Linked DNA regions of Neurospora crassa OR74A. The protein of the gene in region 2 purifies or fractionates together with the protein of the main gene of each other region. This does not show direct contact. Links are inferred from orthologs where the notes say so. Each region holds a gene or a part of one and is shown on either strand. Other genes may lie near its edges.

Region 1 (3,732 bases), on a different chromosome or scaffold from region 2:
AATGGAACCGAGCAGGTAGCAGCAGCAGTAGTAGAAGGCGACGCAACCTACTCCGAAACCATTGCTGAAGTGTTCCAAGACTCCATCGCCCCTTTTCGTCCAAACATTTCCGAGTATGACCCGGACCAGGATTCGGATTTCGGTAAGGAGCAGCAAGTGTCGCTGACGCGCAAGGTGGACTTCAACCAGACCGTCTCGGCGTTCACGGGCCAGGACGAGCGGTTTGCGTACAAAAGAGCGACGAGCCGGTTGTGGGAGCTGTGCAGCAGGCAGTGGCATGCTAGGACCGATGAGGGTTGGTGGCAGCCGCTGCCCAAGGAGGCGAGGCATTGGGAGGGCAAGGAGGTTAGCAAGCCGTTGGAATCACCGTTGGTGAGGTTGAATGCGGGGCCGAAGGAGAAAACGGAGATTGTGATGGGGGAGTCGACGGTACTGGAGGAACCGGTGGGGTTGGAGAGGTTTAGGGTTAGGGAGATGAAGGAGGGGAAGAGGTGATGGGGGTGACGGTTGGATGTTGGTTTTCATGTAGATGCTCTGAAGATGATTACATGTACTCTTACGAGTGGTCTATGCAGACTTGTAAGCTATTATGTGATATACTTCCCCGGATACCGCCATATTTTGTGATCAAAGTGGCTTTGAGGCTTCACAAGCCACCACCAGCGTCGTGTTTTGCATAAATGGAAGCTCTTCAACGGCTCAAAGCTGATTGGCGACCCCATCAAATAGGGAAGCATTTTGTTTCTTCTTGGGTTCCCGAATGCATTACTACACGAGCCCCTAGACCCAGCTAGAACTAGACCTAGACAGCCGTCAAAGCAGCAGCAAGCTGCTCTCCTCTCTCACCACCCAAATACACATCCTCGGGCCCATCCGCGCTCACCAACGCCAGCTCCACGGCCTCATTATACCCCTTTGTAACCATATCCTCATCCACCCGCAATCCATTCTCCACCAGCGCCGTTACCACGCCCCTAATCCTCGCAATTTCCCTCATTGTCTCGGGCTCGATCCTGTCATTCTGGCTCGAATACATGGTAGCACTAACCACCTCTTCGAGGTTCGTAATGCCCGTCTGGCCCTTCGCCTCCTCGGGAACCACAGGCTCCACATGCTTTGAGATCCAGACATAGCCATTGACGCCCAAAATCACATCAATCGGACCGCCATTATTCGCACTCTCCAGCGTCCACACCTGTCTGCGCGATCTGACCACGCCTCCACCGCCGCCCGTGCCAGAAACAGCCATGAACACCCCGTTCCTCAGCTTGCCGTACTTGAGCGAGCGCGTGTGCAGCACCGCACCACCATCTTGGAAGAGCTGCTGCACCTCGGCCACCACCAGATCCCCCTCGGCAAAGAAAGTGCGGATCTGCAACTCGTCCGTCTCCGTTCTTTTGCGGAGAATGCCACCAGGAAGGTTGATGGCGGAAAGAGGCAAAGCAGCGAGCTGCGTGGACCCGACGTCGACCCGCCACCGTTTTGCCTGAACTTCGACGATGCGGCCGACTACCAAGTCGCCGACCTCGGGCGTGTAGCGGGCGCGCAGAGGGCGGACGGAAAGAAGCTTGTTGGTGCGCGTCACGATGCCGGCCAGCGAGGAGGTGATGGCTTGTTCACCCAAAGAGGCCGAGGAGAGGTAGGTGCCGTGGCCGCGCATCCATTGGGGGTCCGTGGTGATGCGCTCGCCGGGGGTGACGATGGCGGAGCGCGGGATGGAGTTGATGGCAGCGTTGGTCTTGGGGCGCTTGGTGAAGGTAGAGGAGGCGGCTGCGCCGGCGCCGGAGCGATGACGCTTACGAGGGTGGATGGTCGCGCCGCCGTCGAGAGAGACGCCGCCCGGTTGGGAGTCGGAGTCTTCAGAGTCGGAGGTGGCGTCGGACATTACGTCGTCGGAGTCATGGTTGAGGCTGTGGCGGGGTGGTTGGTCCCGGAAGGCTTTAGGTGGGAGGATTGTGATGGGCATGTTGTGTGGTTGTGGATGGTGTGAAATGGCGATCTCAACGTTGAGTGTTTGTTGGTGTGATGAAGGTCCGAATGAATCCTTCCTTCCTGGTTCCGTTGTCGACCTTCTCGAATCTCAAGTTCTACTATGTGACTATCCTGACCTGCAGAAGTTTGTTGTTTGTGTCGATTCGTCTTGTGGCCTCAAAGGATGTTGTATGGGCCTTCCAGTTGCTTAGTTCCCTTTGGAGTTGATGAGTTGACGTTCAAATGTTTGCGTATTGGAAATTCTGATATTGAAATCGATACGGTATTGACGATTGAACTTTACACGGTTGGTGGGGCCTTTGTTGTGCCTGTCGTCGTGCACGGGCACAAAATAGAGGCACATGCAGTGCAGGTACACCACGCAAAGTACGTAGGTACTCAGGTACTGTGTAGGTGCTGGGCAGGTACTTACCTCCTCCCGTCCGCGTCCTTGAGGTTTTTATCTAGCAACTACACTACCTTATGTAACTACAATGAGTGGATCTGGGACCTTTTCCTCCTCAAACCTACTTCTACTGCAAATTGAAAGCCAACAGTATTGTAGCCGCACCAGTGGCAGCCCAGGCGACGTCGCACGTCAGGTCCTTCGGTAGGTAGGTACACTACTGCTGCAGCAATGACGGGTGTCATCGTTGAATAGGTGTGAAGTGCCTGCCCCAGTGACAACGATTGGAGGTGCCATGGATCCAGATTGCGACGTTCGGAACTACCCCACCCACCTTCTCCACAAAGCCGAGACCCCGGGACAACGGGCCACCCGGGCGCTGGCTGGCGTGATCCACTCCCGGCCGCGGTTGTCGATTTCCAGGGCGGTTTGTTGAGTGAGAGCGAGATTTCCATTGATGACCGACTCGACCGCCCTCGTAAGCCCCTACCTACCGCGATTCAGTGTCCGTACCTGCTTACACAGCACTCTCGAGCTTCCACTTCTTGCAGGATACACCCGTCCCTACTTGCCCGGGAGGCCCTTACTGTTGCTACCGTTGAAAGCCGATCATCCCGTGTTCTTCCACCAGTTGCTGGCATCCCTTTGAACGGCCATTAGTAGTCCCGTCCGTCCTGCTCTTTGATTTGCTCCCATTGTTTACTTGCTGCGGGTTCACGCCGTCAAACATACCTGACTTGTTTGAATTCGAGATTCACGTCATCTACCACGACGTCGGATTCCACCAGACTACGACATAACCGTGTGCTACTCGGATTGGCGCCGATCGGATATCGACTACATATCGGGAACCATAGCGGTGGATCATCCCAAGACTGTCAGTGAAACCAGACCAAGATTCCGAAACCGATTCACTACACTACGCGGTAGATCGGACGGACCGAACGGACGGACGGCCTGGGACGGGCACCAATCGAGGTTTCCAGGTCCATATACACCGATATGCCTTTGCGAGGGCCCCTTCGTCGGCCTGCGCTTGCGCTTCCTCCTTTCACATGCAACAATGTCACCACAAAAATACCCCTCAGGATATCACCATTACCGCGCTCGGTAGCGGTACGGCAGCGTAGAGGACATGCGACACATCTCCCGGTACCAGACACGCGGCCAAAGACGGCCATCTTCTTTCCAGGTTCGTAGTAGTAGTAGTGCGCTGTCCTGCTTTGAACAGAGAACGATGCTGACAGCCATGAGATATACAGGCCAAGGCGTCCAAAGAGTCGGCATGCTCACGCCCTGGCTAGAAGCCTTTCCCTCGACAACTTCCGAAATCATCGACGAAATTGACTCGATAG
Region 2 (3,936 bases):
GAGTATGAGACTGGAGAAGCCCACACCGTAATCACCGTAGAGGCCGGCGCCAAATCTCCGTTTTTTGATGGATACAATATCCGGCCCTGAATGTGGTCAATTTGGATCATGAAGCTGAACATGGAACTCTGCGGGCCAAAGGTTCAATGTTTCTATCCGGATGTACGTGGAGGTAGCTTGGCCGAGCTGCCGAGCTCGAGCGGGTCAGGGGGTCGCTGACGCCGTTCTAAGGATCGAACGCGGGGCGGCTCCCACACGTGTGTTTCGGTTCCCAAGTCTCCTCCCGTCCATGCGCGCGGTAAAAGGATGGCCGACGACGGAAGACCGGAAGAATACCTGGACACGACCACGCTGAACACTTGCGGCACCGACATCATGTGCGCGTCTCTGCAATCGCATGTGTCTCGAGGGACAGCGGTTGTCAGACCAGACCTCAACATCGCGATGTCAAAACTGCTTGTTCACTCGCATCGATGTCGACACCGGCATGCATTGACGTCACGGCACCCTTTGGGCCTTTGGGACTACCTAGGTATGTACTTGGCCCTTGCGAGATCCCTAACTCATCCGGGGAAGCCGCCCCTTTTGACAGGTGTGGAAACGTTCCTGCTCCGGGTTTCCAGAAAACAATGTTGGAATTGCCAATTGATGGACGGATTGATAATAGATGAACCCGCCTGCACAATCTGTTCCCTAGCACGTCCTCGACACTCAACGCTCATCATCAATGTTCGTGGAACCTTCGGGGTTGCATGGAGAGTCGGATGGAGCACGCAACCGACTCCAGTAAGGGCTTCATCCAATCTCAGGTTGGATGTGGATCAACGGTTGGGGTTCCTAATTTACCGCAATCCGTCTCGGCTTTGTTGCCTTAGTGCCTCATGCTCTTGGTACGTGCGTCAGGCCACAACACGTCCGACACCTCTCTGCAAGGCTTTCGTTTGCTTGTAAAAAGAAGGTTTTCCGAGCCTTCAGTCACAACAGTTCGAGGCGGGTCATTCGAACCAATCAAGGCGTGATTGGGTGGCTCGAAAAAGTGCCTGCCAGTTCGTTCCTCCCCTCGGGCCACGCATCACAGCCACGGTGCCACAGCAGCACAGCACACAGGCAGCAGGGCAGGCAAACCGAAGCGACGAACGGATGCAATCGAACCCGACAGACGACTCGAGCAGAGTCAAGATCAGGGCAGCCACTACAGCCGAGTACCCACCCATACCTGCACCAACCACCGACCACTGGCACTCCCCCGTCCAGTCCACTTCTTCTACTTCTGCAACGACAACTTTTCTTTCTCCCCGCTTTCCAACCCCAACTCCCTCCTCACTTCTCGCATCACCACCACATCACGCTTTTGTCGTCATCAGCGAAAATAATCTTAAACGCCAACGGAGACCGCCTTCGTCAATCCAGCAATCCAGTAATCGACTAGTCGCCCAGGATTTGTCCATGCATCTCGACTCAGCACACGCTCACCTGGATTTTCTCACTTTCTAGTAGCCTCACAGTAAAAGGGTGCGCCCAGATCACATCCGCGCAGGTCAAGTCCTGATCTTGTCTGCCCTTCGTACAGCTGCTTTCGTTGCGGTTCTTGCACGTCGTCACAGCTATCCCCAGTTGGTGGTTTCCACTTCGCGCGTCACGTCAGAAAAATAAAAAGGACCACCGTATTCTTGCTCGCACACACGCCGGCCAGCAACATATATCTCTGGCCTCTCGGCTTCTCTTTTTTTTGCTAGGACTTTGCACTGGCCTACGGCTTCTGCGCTTGTCTTAAGACGCACAGAAAGGACAGTCTCTTCGTACAAGCTGCTCTCTTCTGAGTACCCGGTGGCGCGGGCAAATTGCAGCTTCGTAACCTCGGTGATATACGTCGAGAAGCAAGGAAAGCAGACCTTGGATGCCGACCTGTTTGAGCCTTAATCAACGTACTCCGTCTTTCCACCCGTGACAAAGGAGCATGGTATTGGCATAAAACCTTTAATCAGCCTTCACCGTATCACAACCGTACTACATCGCAGCTTGTATTTCCAAGCCCAACGGCCAAGTTGATTGCCGACTTCAGCTGGTCTTGCTCGATTTTCAAACAAAAATCATCCATCATGTTGTCGTCACAGGCGGCCGTAGCTGAACTAGAGAAGGGCCTCGGGGACATGCAAAACCTGAAACCGCCCGGTGTCTCTGGCTCGAAAATCAATAGCCTCACCATGCTGTGTTTGAACAACGTCCAGGTAAGAAAAGCGCCGTGTCTGGGCTCGACAGTATGCACGATGGAGGCACCAGAGCTAACCACACATCCTTCGACAGTACGAATCACAGCTGGTTCAGAAGTTATATACCCACTACAAGAAGACACCAAACACTCACAAGCTGGGCGTCCTATACGTCGTAGATTCTGTAACCCGCAAATGGTTGGAGAAGGCAAAGGCCCTTGAACAACCCGTCACCCTTGGTGCACAGGATGGCACCTATGCTGCCGGTGTCCATAGAGTGACTGAACTAATGCCCATGTTCATGAACGCCATCATCTCTTCGGCCCCCGAGGATCAAAAGGTACGCACACAACCGCACACTCATGTGCCGTCTTACACTTATACCTCCATTTCTGCCAAACGGACTAGACCCCGAGCACACTTGGGAGCGGCTGTAAGATCAGGCCACACCAGTCGTCTTCACTTTCCTAGACCATATCGTGCATCCATTTTTGGTTGTATTTAGTGTCCAGTATCATGTTGTTCATAAACTCACACCCGTATCGTCTTGTAGGAGAAGATCAAGAAGCTGGTCGACATATGGGAAAAGGGCCAGACGTTTCCTCCCGATATGGTCAACACCTTCAAGGAGAAGCTGAATGCTCATCAACAGCACAGTAGGTTTTGCCCGGATCCTCCTAAGCATATTCCCTTACGCGTGTGCGGTGCTCGTTGTTTGCCTGATCTAACTGTAGCGTGTGCCGATAGATGTCTCGACAACACCACCAGGCAGTCCCCCTCCCAACCCGCTGGCTTCCTTGCAGGCCACTAGCAGACCTCTCCCTACGCCTACAACTACCGCCGTAATGCCGTCCAACATCCTGGAGACCTTAGCAAATCTTGCCCGCTTGAATGCGAATGCGGCTCAGAGTAATTCCAGCGCGGCCGCCCCTGCTCCCGCCCCGGCCGCAACTGCGGCTGTGGCCCCTTCTCCGGTACAAATGGGGGTCCCGCAGATTCCTCCTGTTACTTCTTCCACGCCGCATCCCATGTTTGCTACTTCTGGCCAGCCTAGCAATGGAGCATTGCCAGCCGGATTTCTTCCCGGTGTGGGGCACCCGGGTATGCCGTACTTATCAGCATCGCAGCCGGCGGGGCAGTCGGTGAACATGCCACCGACGATGCCATTTGGCTTCCCAGCTCCGGCCGCACAGCTAGCTCAGCCTGTGCAAGTGCCAGGAGCAGCCCCTAGTGCGAATACCGCTACGACGGTTCAGCTGTTCGCCGCCCTCGCCGCCCAGGGCATCCCTCTTGACAAGATTGCCAGTGTAATGCAGCTGATGGGTCAACCAAGTGGCACCGCCCCGGCAGCACCTCCCCAGTCCGTTGCTCAGCCTCTATATGCCGGCTATCCTCCTCCTCCCCCTGCTGGCGGTGTATCTGCTGCCCCTGCATGGGAGGCCGTGAGACATGATGAATCACGTGATCGTAATGGCTATCATGATGGGATGAGGTCTCCAAATAGGCCTCGGGGTCGCTCTCGCTCACGCTCGCCGCGGCGCTGGGATGTCAGGGGGTCGCCTCGAGCCCGCGGTAACGATCGCTTTGATTATGGGCGGAGCACCCCGCCCCGTGGCCATCCGGATGATCGTGGTAGAGACCGGGATATGCGTATTCCCGAGTACCGACAACGGTCGCCCCCCAACCGTAGACATGAGAGCCCGGGTCAGGAGCCGCCCTCCGAGAA

Evidence for each region.
Region 1: the proteins of NCU01695 (region 2) and NCU04009 purify together in Saccharomyces cerevisiae (affinity purification with western blotting; 3 studies listed by BioGRID, with this or other methods). This does not show direct contact. The link is inferred for Neurospora crassa OR74A from reciprocal best matches to the Saccharomyces cerevisiae genes NRD1 and RRP4.

Annotation. Positions count from the first base shown.
Region 1 is NC_026506.1:2,432,413-2,436,144, forward strand, and holds NCU04009 (exosome complex exonuclease Rrp4), read right to left. Parts: upstream 2,250-3,732; 5' UTR 1,967-2,249; coding exon 803-1,966; 3' UTR 501-802; downstream 1-500. Other genes in the region: NCU04008 (mitochondrial ATPase), read left to right, coding at 1-495; NCU04010 (malonyl CoA-acyl carrier protein transacylase), read left to right, coding at 3,380-3,569, 3,640-3,732. UniProt on the Saccharomyces cerevisiae protein: Non-catalytic component of the RNA exosome complex which has 3'->5' exoribonuclease activity and participates in a multitude of cellular RNA processing and degradation events.
Region 2 is NC_026502.1:2,700,356-2,704,291, reverse strand, and holds the start of NCU01695 (RNA binding protein Nrd1), read left to right. Parts: upstream 1-1,136; 5' UTR 1,137-2,099; coding exon 2,100-2,228; intron 2,229-2,304; coding exon 2,305-2,550; intron 2,551-2,763; coding exon 2,764-2,866; intron 2,867-2,957; coding exon 2,958-3,936. UniProt on the Saccharomyces cerevisiae protein: Plays a role in sequence-specific regulation of nuclear pre-mRNA abundance.